Arabidopsis thaliana: one gene and its partners. The protein of the gene in region 1 interacts with the protein of each later gene in a pairwise test. Each region holds a gene or a part of one and is shown in the gene's direction. Other genes may lie near its edges.

Region 1 (3,757 bases):
TCCCTAGATCAAAAATTTATTACTGAAATCATACCTTTCTTTGCATATACCACATAAAATGCCAATGAATCAAAATTCATCACAAGAAGCAATCATCACTAGTAGCTGATGTGTATATGTAGACGTCTCTTTAGGGTTTTTACAACAATCTCCATGGAATTTTCGATCAACATGTTTTATTAAATCATATTGATTTTTTATTATTTTATGTTTTAAGGTAAATAAGAAATTGTTTATTTTCTTCTTTGTAAACTATTGTCGGATCATATATTTATGTGATGTAGAAGCCATGTTATCGTGTACAATGCGTGTTAAAACTTAAAATTGTGAAACTTTTGTATGTAATAATGATTGATTGACTAATTGATTTTAAAAGATAGAAAATATATAAATTATGGGTCCACATGGTAATTTTATAAAGAAAAAATCCCGGATTTTTTCTATTTAATCGAGAAATATAGATAATGATATACAAAAATTGGTGATTTTTTGTGAAATGTCAGTTGACTAGAAATTTGAAACAATTCTTATCAATGTATTTTTAAAAATATCATGTTTAATATGTAAGTTTAATATTCATTAGTGTGCATAATGTAAGAATAATTACTAATTTACATAAATATTTTCTCTTATATGTGAAAGTATTTAACTACTGATTTATTGATATACAATGAAAAAGTATGGGCTATTAACTTTATATGATTTCAATAATTTTTATGATTAATATATTTGATAAAAATGATAAATAATAAATCATTATTTTAAAAGAAACATGTATATCCAACAAAAAAAGCCGTGTGTAATACGCGTTGGTTCAAAGGGTAATTTAACTATGGAAAATAGTCCTAGATTTATTTTTGTTAAATTGAGAAATAAAAATCATTATATACCAAAATTGTAAACTTAGCAATTTTTTGGTGCAATTTCCGTTGACTCGATTTTTTGGAAAAAGTCTGTCAATTTCAAAGAAAAAATATTATGTTTAAATACTTAAGTTGAATATTTATTCGTGTGCATAATAATAATTTATTTTTCGTATAAACATTTTTTATTCTATGTGAATGTATGTAACTAGTTGTTTGTTGTTACATGTTAAAAGTATGTACTATTAAGTTTATATGGTTTCAATAAAAAAAATTCAATACTTTTTATGATGAAATTATTTGATAAAATTTAAATAAATGAAAATTGTTTTTTTAACAACAAACCGATCATATTAATGAGAATTTATTTTAAAATAGAAAAGCCGTATGCAATACACGTTATATTTAATAGAAAATTCGTAGTCAAATGATGAATTTAATTAGCAGTTTAATTTTTAAGAAGTTAAAGATTTAGTCAAATGATGAATTTAAATTTATTCGACAACAAAAATTATCAATAAATCAAAAATGTAAAACTGACGATTATTCTATGAAAAGTGAAAACACAACGGAAAATACAAATAATAATGATGAGTTTGGGGTTTTATTTAAAAATAATAATAATAATAATATTGTTTTTGACAATTAGATAAAAAAGGTAAACTTTTTTTTTCTTCTCCTTTGTTTTATTTTAACCCCACAAAACTCGAAAACCTTTTTCCCATTTTCTCACTTTCCCTCTTCTTCTCCTCCCTCAAAGCTTTTCCCTCTCATTTTTCTCTTTCCGCTTTCAAGCTTCTTTTCCCTCTCTCAAAAAATGGGGAAATACATGAAGAAATCAAAGATAACTGGCGATATCAGCGTCATGGAAGTCTCTAAAGCAACAGCTCCAAGTCCAGGTGTTCGAACCAGAGCCGCTAAAACCCTAGCCTTGAAGCGGCTTAATTCCTCCGCCGCTGATTCAGCTCTACCTAACGACTCTTCTTGCTATCTTCAGCTCCGTAGCCGCCGTCTCGAGAAACCCTCTTCGCTGATTGAACCGAAACAGCCGCCGAGAGTTCACAGATCGGGAATTAAAGAGTCTGGTTCCAGGTCTCGCGTTGACTCGGTTAACTCGGTTCCTGTAGCTCAGAGCTCTAATGAAGATGAATGTTTTGACAATTTCGTGAGTGTCCAAGTTTCTTGTGGTGAAAACAGTCTCGGTTTTGAATCAAGACACAGGTTCGTTGTTTTTTTTTTTTTTTTTTTGTGCCCTAATGTTTTCTTATTACCAATTCGACTTTTGTGTTCTGTCTTATCCAATAATCTTAGTTTTGAGTCTTACATAGTTTTGAATCTTAGTTAGGTTTCTCTGAAACTTTTGTTGTTTGCTTCAAATCAATTTTTTTTTTTTTGGGGGATGAAAATAGTTTAGTACAAGAGAAAAATAGGTTTTTTATGTTTCCCTTATTGGTTTGGTTTTTGTTTATGAATTGACTCTCTTGTGATGTACTGAATTTTGTTATTACTACTTCTCCGTATAAGTCTCTTTTGGTGTTAGATTTACATTATATCTGATTTATTGCTGTATGTCCCATGTGTACTTCATTGCAGAGATTATCAATGAATGTGTCAAAGCTATTTTCGTTTTATATATGTATTTCATTATTTGTTACAAATTTGGTGAAACTCTGATCTGTTTTTGTGTATTTTAATTTGTTTAAGAACATGTTGATTCTCCTTGTTATTAGGCTAATGGCATAAGAAGTATTTGTACATTGGGTATACAATATTGGGATTTGGTTATTGGGGGTTTACTTAAACACATGGTTTTCGTTTTTACAAAAGTGGGTTGTTGTATAAAGGTCAGAAACTTTTAATATGTAAGATTATATGAGAATTGGGACTTTCCTCATAAGTGTAATGCAAGTACTGTGGTGTCATGTTCATGGGACCTAGTGGTTTTTGCATACTTGGGGAATACTTTTGTAGGATCCTCTGTTTTTTGGGGTAACCGTCCTGCTGCTAGTTGACAATGTGGTGATTGCCTTCTCTTTGTTATTTATTATCTTATGGGACCATATTACTTAGAAAGTCTCTAGCTTTTGTTGTTTACTTAAACCAAGCCTCTTTTTTATTCTGGATGTTTGGTTTTGGTTTGATTCTTGATTTGGTTAAGTGTCTTTGTGGTGATAATGTTATTGAAGTTATTTTATCTGTGTTTTTTTCTGCAGCACAAGGGAGAGCACGCCTTGTAACTTTGTTGAGGATATGGAGATCATGGTTACACCAGGGTCTAGCACGAGGTCGATGTGCAGAGCAACCAAAGAGTACACAAGGGAACAAGATAACGTGATCCCGACCACTAGTGAAATGGAGGAGTTCTTTGCATATGCAGAGCAGCAGCAACAGAGGCTATTCATGGAGAAGTAAGCTTATTCTTTATTTTATTTTTGTGTCATTACGAAGAGGGTGAACAACACTCATGTGTTTTCAATAATCTTCAGGTACAACTTCGACATTGTGAATGATATCCCCCTCAGCGGACGTTACGAATGGGTGCAAGTCAAACCATGAAGTTCAAAAGGAAACAGCTCCAAAAGACATGGTGTGAAGTTAGAGAATGTGATGGAGTTAACAGACTAACCAAACATCAGAAATCGTGTAATCTTAAGTAATAATGTGGTTAGAGAACAAGTTTGAGAGTAGCTTAGGGACCTTAAAACCTCACACCATTTGTACTACTAATCTTCTTCAGATGCTTAGTGAAATTTTCTCATCTGTTTCTTTCAAGTGTTTGTTTTTCTATCTATCTCTCATGTTTATTCAAAGCTATATGTAATGATGATGATTGAGAGGGATGTGTGTGAACATGTTTAAGCTTGGCATATAGTGAAAAAAATGATTCAGATGCA
Region 2 (3,757 bases), on another chromosome or scaffold:
AAACCGTAAAACGTTATTATTATTAGGTCCACGAAGACCTCTCGTTACGTCCTTCTCACACTATAACAGCTTTAACGCATTAGTCCAATACATATACAATAGAACATACTGTATATATCCTAAATTTGAAATCCATGAGCTTTGATTATGTAACTTCCCATGTGGTAAGTGAGACTATTGGTTATAGCTCCTCACTGTAGCTTTTGAATTACTCGTGCGTTGTATATAAATAATTATCCCAAGGATACTTTTGTTTGTTTGTGATGCTTTCTTCGATTATATCACTTAACATCAAAGTTTCATATGAAAGTTTTGACTTAATCAGTAGACTTTACTGCCCTTTCACGTACTACCGAACAAAATAGACTCAACTTTAACTTTAAAAGATTTGTCATTTTCATTTCAAATCTGATAGTTTTTCGAACTTCTTCTTTTTGTTTTTGTTAAAACTCGTAATTGAATTGCTTCAAACGCGAAACAACAGCAAAAATAAATAATTAAGTTTGAAAACAAAGATAATTCTGAATAAGAAAATATATCAAACAAAAAAATATTAAAAAAATAAAATAACTTCTGCTATATTTTGATAAAACGGCTATAGGTAAGATGTGAAATAATGTATAACATACAAGATTACCAAGGTCTTAAACATAACAAGACCTGAAATGGCAGATTCCACCACTTAATTATTTGTTCATGTCCTAAGTATCTTTTCTTTTTCTAAGTGGATCCTGCGGATCTAAGCATCAAAAGTAATTATTATCATATTTTCTTTTTGTTTTAAATTAAGTTTTTTTTAATTCTAAACTGATTATGTCAAGTACAATGAGATCTAATACAGTTTTCATAACTCCTAGTATTATTTAAAAAGAGTGTTGTATATAACGTTTAATCGCAGAAAAAACTCTCCAAGTTTTATTTCACGTAGATTTGGTCAAAGTAACCGATGAGAAAATTAGACATAAGTTTTGTTTTACACGAAATAAAGAAAGTGTTAGTATCACATAATGCATGTTATCTTTTTACTCAATAGTATACAAAGACCACGGGAGCGTCGTAAGTATGATTTTAAAACGGAGCAAATCCTATAGAAATAGAAACGGGTTCTTTAAGTTTCTACAAAATGTTTAAAAATTTGAAAGGATAGTGTAGAATTTATGGATGGATTCTTACTTAACATGCATGTGGAGTCCAAATAAGCATTAAGGAATATTAAAAGACACATAGAAACGTAAATATAAATATCAGAAGAGTGATTCTGGGGTAAACGTGCATTTGGTCTTTTTTTTTTTTTTTTTTTTACTACTAGTTAGTTTTTCTATTCAAAAGTTAAAAACTTTACCATTAAAAAAATAAATGGTGGAATCTTTCTTCAAATCTTCAAAATTTGAACAGAGTTTTTTGTAATTTAATCATTTTTATTTACCTTTGGATGAATAGCCACGCTGTTACTGTCTTTAAAAAATGCGCTGTTACTATCTATGTAAATAAATTATGACACATTTCTTGGAAAACGTAACTATTCCTCCTCTCTATCGTTCTTTTACTTTAATACAAAAAGTAAATATAAAAAAAACATTCGAACAGAGAGAAGAAAAACAAAATCTGCATCATTAATTACATACAACAGGTTAATGGAGAAATGGAAATGACACAGAACCCAAACTAGCAATGGGTGAAAATAAGGTAAATGATTAGTTACCAAAATCTAAAGAAAAATCTATGTTCAATCACGTACCAAATTGAAAAGATTAACCACAAATTACTTATCAAAAAAAATCCCAAGCAAACTAAACTGTAGTGTTAGCTCTTTCTTTATCCCCTTGTTTTATGGTCAAACAGTCAATGAGTTGCGTTATAAGCACATAAACAAACACTTCTTTCTCTAATAAAAATAAAGTTTCTATTTTTATATACAGAAAAGAAAAGAATATAAAACTTATATCTTTAAACCATTCTATATCCCGCTCACTCTCAGAGACAGTCCCTTTGCATAAAAGCGAATTGACTATAACCCATTTACTCTCTCGATCTGCCCAAGCTCCCATCTTTTCTGTTCGTAGAGCTCATTTCCCCAAATTAATAAAGAAAAAAAAAAAGACTTTTTTTCTTCTTCTTCTTCTTGAAGAAATTTCTGGAGCGTAGTAAGTTTCTATCTTAGTCTCTCTATCTCCATCTTCTCTGTTTTATTTTGCTTGTGAAATGTGATGATATTATTTTTATGCCGACCCTCTGTTCTTTTTTTTGAGGCGGTTCTCCTGGAGGGTTTCTTGAAACTTTATCTTGGTTTTGAAGCTTTTTTGGTTCATGGGTCACTCGGATTTTTCTTGGATTAAAGAAAATGTGACTTTGATTACTTTTTTTTTTAACGAACGGATCGATAGGTTTTTTTGGGAGATCTTGCAGCTTTAAATCATGGGTCTTTTCGTTATCCTCAGAAGAAATTTGATCTAGTCGTTCCTTTTCTTGTTCCTATTTCTTATGGATAAACATTTTTATATAAAAACCCATGAAAGAAATTTAGAAACTTTACTAATTTTTTCTTCAAATTTAATTATCTCCAAATTCTGCGCAAGTCGCTCCCGTCTTTGCTAAAATTGCTAAGACTTTTTCTTTCGAGCGTTGAGGGTTTTCTGCATTACAGTTTTCAAGTTTTTGTCAACAAGTAAATTGTAATTCACAAAGACTTGTTCTTTCAACTTGAATCTGACTTGAAACTTTGGAACTTGATTCGACGAACTTAAACAACAAGTACGTGTTGCAATTATTTGTCTAGTCATGAATGATCAGATAAACAATCCTCGTTTAGAATAAACAATTTCTCCAAACATCTTATATGCATTGGACTCTGCATAGATAAATATATATCTCTCTGTTTTGTTTAATCTTCATGCCATTGATCTTCGATTTCTCTTGACTTCAAATTCACAGATCGAGAGTTAATGTGGTGCTAAGTCCCAAACGTTAGAAAAGGGTTGGATCGTGTCAAAGGGTTTCAATCATGGGGAAGGAGAATGCTGTTTCTGGAAACTCTATACCAATCCATGGTCGCCCTGTAACTCGTGCTCTTGCCTCTGCTCTGCGTGCTTCTTCTAAGCTGATAACATCTTCTGAAGTGGCTGCTACAACACAGAACCAGGGACGGGTTCTTAGAGCAAAGAGTAAAAGAACAGCCTTGGATGAGAAGAAAGCCAATGCACCTAAGAAGCGAGCTGTTCTTAAGGATATCACTAATGTTACCTGCGAGAATTCTTACACAAGTTGCTTCAGTGTTGCGGTTGTTAACTACACAATGCAGCATTTTAGAATTGCTAAGTTTATATGACAAGAAGTATGTTTTTGCTGACAATTGTTGCTTCTTCTTTTTACTTAGGTGGAGAATATCAAGCAGATAAAGAAGGGACGACAGAGTTCTTCTTCTTCCAAGGTGGCATCTTCTTCGGCTACTTCACAAGTTACAGATGCAAAGGTAGAAGTTGTGTCAAATTCAGCAGGAGCAAGCTTGTCTGTTTTTACAGATACAAGCTTAGGCACAAACGAAACATCCTATAGCATTATCGCAAAGCCAAGCTCCAGATCGCCTCCAAGACCCTTTGGGACAGGTGAATTTTATAAATGGTCATTTACTGAAGCTTGAGTGGGCAATGTATAACATTTCTGATGCATCTTTATTCTTGCAAATGGTTTACAGTTGAGAGAAGTTGTGGTGGAGCAAGTAGCCCGAAATTCGTTGACATTGATTCAGATGACAAAGATC
Region 3 (3,757 bases), on another chromosome or scaffold:
TGTTGCTATCTGTCAGAACTAAGTATGTTAGATTATAGTTGTGTGAAGTTTGTTCCATCTTTGTTGGCTGCTTCTGCTGTCTTTCTCGCTCGATTCATCATCCTTCCTAACCAACATCCTTGGGTAAGAACTTTTGTCTCAATCTCTCTTTTTCAGGTTTATATGTTGAGTTAATCTTTTGAATGAGACACTAATAATCTATGGCTTGTAATGTAAAACAGAGTCAAATGTTGGAAGAATGCACAAAGTACAAAGCGGCTGATCTACAAGTGTGTGTGGAGATCATGCTTGACTTGTACCTGAGCAGAAGTGAAGGTGCTTCAAAAGCTGTTAGAGAGAAATACAAGCAACATAAGGTAATTGACATATTACAAATTATGAAATCATTTGATTTAATTAGTAGTATCATTTATACTTAAATGTTGCTTTTTATGGTACAGTTCCAATACGTTGCGGCAATTCCTGTCTACCAAGAGCTTCCGGTTACCTTTTGGGAGGATGTTGTTACCATTTGATCAGAACCAATCTTTCATTTCCCAATTGTTACTGAGCTCGATTACTAAGGGACACTGATCAACAGTTGAAGCTAGAGGAGTCATATGTTATATGTATCGAAGTGAAGCAGGAGCAAATAATTTGTGTTGTGAAGATGTATTGTGTTATTACTTGATTAACATTGTGGTGACAAATTAATGTGTTACTCTGGAAATTTATACGATTATGCAATATGATAAGAAGTATTTTATGTGACATGATTTTATTTGTTTAATCATTGAGCCTCCTATGACAAAATTTATAAGTTCCTAGAAGGCCAAAACTTTAGTAGTCAATAATTTACTTCAAATGGTATCGAAACCAGATGAATGGGAAGACATGACAAGATAAGCCTTTAGACTTGCTATGATCCTTGACAAAAACAAAACAAAACAGAAATTGTTCATTTAAGTCAATAAAAAGGCAATTTCTACAAGTGAACCCTTATTGGAAAGATTATTTGGTAGAATTGGTCTGGTCATTTCCAACATACGTTTATTAGATAATAACAGATAGGCGGATCATATAAGATAGAGTTGTCAAATCGGGGTGTCCATGTCCATTAGCCCAATCCAATAATGTCTATTTTGATATTGGACGAACATAGTCCGTATCCATTAACACCTTTGTCCAATCCAATAATGTCCATTTTAATATTCGATTTTTCCTCAAATCGATTTAACCTAACATTATAAGACTATTGGGCCGCCCATGTCCATCATATCTACTCTGCTAAAGTTCATATCCGTTAACGACTATAACCATTAAAGCCCGTTTTATAATGGCTTTATCCATGACTCGGTCCATTAAGTATTGGACGCAGGCAGCCCACGGGCCGCACACCCATTTTGACAACTCTAATATAAGATAAGTGTCCGTTGGTGTCAATTATTTTTGTTAAATTAATAGCTGAATTTGTCGAAAAAATTATATAGGAAATGGTGTTAAATGAATTCCTAGTTCAATGATTTTTTTTTATTATTGTTTAGACAAAATATTTTCATATGGTTTAGTGGATTTATTTTTCTGTATCCAAAAAAAAATCAAAAATGTAAAACTAAACCCAAAAAAAGTATAAAAAAAAAACAAATGCAAAACCGATTTTTTTTTAAATTTTTTAAAAGCATCTCACTTAATTCCGAATCTTAACCAAAACCGAAAAAAAAACAAATCAACTACTAATAATTTCCTTAATTAAAAGCATTCATTGATTGTTATTTTCATCTTTAATTAAGTGAATAAAACAATAATGATTGTCTAAATATAGGAGTGAAACTTTTTGAAGGGTAAAAAGGAGAAAACAGCCGCCAAATAAATGTGGAAATGAAATCTGCAAAAAAGCCCCAAATTTTGGATACTCAAAAGTCAAATCCCTAAAAATTTCGAAATCGGAAAATTTACACAGAGAAGCGCCATGACCTAAAAATCTCAAAACTTCCCCAACAAAAATGGCGCTTTTACTCAACCCATTTCCTTTTACCTACCTTGTACATTACCCCTTTTCTCAAATCTCACTTTCCCACTGAAATAACCCCATGGCGGAGAATCAGAACTGTGCGAGGATGACGAGAGCGGCGGCGAAACGAAAAGCGTCGTCCATGGCGTTAGACGAAAACCCAGTTAGTAAGAAGAGAGTTGTTCTCGGAGAGCTTCCGAATATGTCCAATGTCGTTGCTGTACCCAATCAAGAAAGAGAGACCCTTAAGGCTAAAACAAGTGTTAATACCTCGAAGAGGCAGATGAAGAAGGCTTTGATGATTCCTGAAGCTAGCGTACTAATCGAATCGAGATCTGTTGATCCTCAGATGTGTGAGCCTTTTGCTAGTGATATTTGTGCTTATCTCCGTGAAATGGAGGTAAAAAAAAAATCATCTTTAGTAGATTTCTTGATTCCATCATTTTTGATCTTAGTGATCTTATGGTATCAGTTTATGTTATTTTGGAATTGGTACAGTGTTGGACTTGATATTGATTAATGGGTTTGGTTAAAGTTGTGGATTTGATAAGTTTCTGAGATTTTGTCCAATCACAGCTTGCTCTTATGGTTATATGATATGTTTGGAGAAATTAGAGATGATTGATACTTTGGGACTAATGGTTATTGTTTTTGGATTGGTAAAATTTTCAGGGGAAGCCGAAACATAGACCACTACCTGATTATATTGAAAAGGTTCAGAGTGATTTAACTCCACACATGAGAGCGGTTTTGGTGGATTGGTTAGTGGAGGTTGCTGAGGAGTACAAGCTTGTTTCGGATACGCTTTATCTCACTATCTCCTATGTTGATAGATTCTTGTCTGTGAAGCCTATTAACAGGCAGAAGCTTCAGCTTGTGGGAGTTTCTGCAATGCTTATTGCGTCGTAAGCATCTTAATCCTCTTTGTTTATTGTTGTGTTGGTGTGAAGAGTCTTAGATGGTTGGCTTATGGAATCTTTATTTTTGCTTTTAAAAAAGTAGGAAATATGAAGAGATAGGTCCTCCTAAAGTTGAAGATTTTTGTTACATTACGGATAATACATTTACTAAACAAGAAGTGGTGTCGATGGAGGCGGATATACTTCTTGCTCTGCAGTTTGAATTAGGAAGCCCAACCATCAAAACATTCCTAAGGTTCGACTCTGAAACAGTCTGGTGTTTAAACTTATGATTTCATGGTTTTACTTGCCCTTGTTTTGATTGTTATTCTCTTTTTTATGTCGTGTTTGTGCAGACGGTTTACACGGGTTGCACAAGAAGATTTCAAAGTAAGCTCAAAATCGATGTACCTGTAAACTGTGGCATTTGCATCTCATAATTTCTATTGTTAAATCTTCTTTTTTTTCATGCCTTTGCAGGACTCACAATTGCAGATAGAGTTCCTTTGTTGCTATCTATCAGAATTGAGTATGTTAGATTACACCTGTGTGAAGTATTTGCCATCTCTTTTGTCTGCTTCAGCTGTATTTCTTGCCCGGTTCATCATCCGTCCAAAACAACATCCTTGGGTAAGCAAATTAAGAACCATGACAGGTTCTTATACAGAAAAAGTTCTTTATATTCTAAATCCTCTTCTGGTGATGCAAACAGAATCAAATGCTAGAAGAATACACAAAGTACAAAGCAGCTGATCTACAAGTGTGCGTGGGTATCATACATGACTTGTATCTAAGCAGAAGAGGAAACACTCTAGAAGCTGTTAGAAATAAGTACAAGCAACACAAGGTAAATTCAACAATTCAATGA

What was found.
Region 2: the proteins of ICK6 (region 1) and CYCA2;4 interact in a two-hybrid assay, tested with the Arabidopsis thaliana proteins (one large-scale study listed by BioGRID).
Region 3: the proteins of ICK6 (region 1) and CYCA3;4 interact in a protein complementation assay, tested with the Arabidopsis thaliana proteins (one large-scale study listed by BioGRID).

What each region holds. Positions count from the first base shown.
Region 1 is NC_003076.8:19,792,270-19,796,026, reverse strand, and holds ICK6 (inhibitor/interactor with cyclin-dependent kinase), read left to right. Parts: upstream 1-1,618; 5' UTR 1,619-1,680; coding exon 1,681-2,111; intron 2,112-2,293; coding exon 2,294-2,320; intron 2,321-3,076; coding exon 3,077-3,271; intron 3,272-3,349; coding exon 3,350-3,419; 3' UTR 3,420-3,757. UniProt on the Arabidopsis thaliana protein: Binds and inhibits CYCD2-1/CDKA-1 complex kinase activity. May target specifically CDKA-1.
Region 2 is NC_003070.9:30,211,693-30,215,449, forward strand, and holds the start of CYCA2;4 (Cyclin A2;4), read left to right. Parts: upstream 1-2,012; 5' UTR 2,013-2,144; intron 2,145-2,931; 5' UTR 2,932-3,001; coding exon 3,002-3,277; intron 3,278-3,373; coding exon 3,374-3,602; intron 3,603-3,691; coding exon 3,692-3,757.
Region 3 is NC_003070.9:17,304,683-17,308,439, forward strand, and holds the start of CYCA3;4 (CYCLIN A3;4), read left to right. Parts: upstream 1-1,894; 5' UTR 1,895-2,069; coding exon 2,070-2,390; intron 2,391-2,662; coding exon 2,663-2,895; intron 2,896-2,989; coding exon 2,990-3,145; intron 3,146-3,245; coding exon 3,246-3,279; intron 3,280-3,369; coding exon 3,370-3,519; intron 3,520-3,601; coding exon 3,602-3,736; intron 3,737-3,757. Other genes in the region: CYCA3;3 (Cyclin A3;3), read left to right, coding at 1-123, 222-356, 441-515.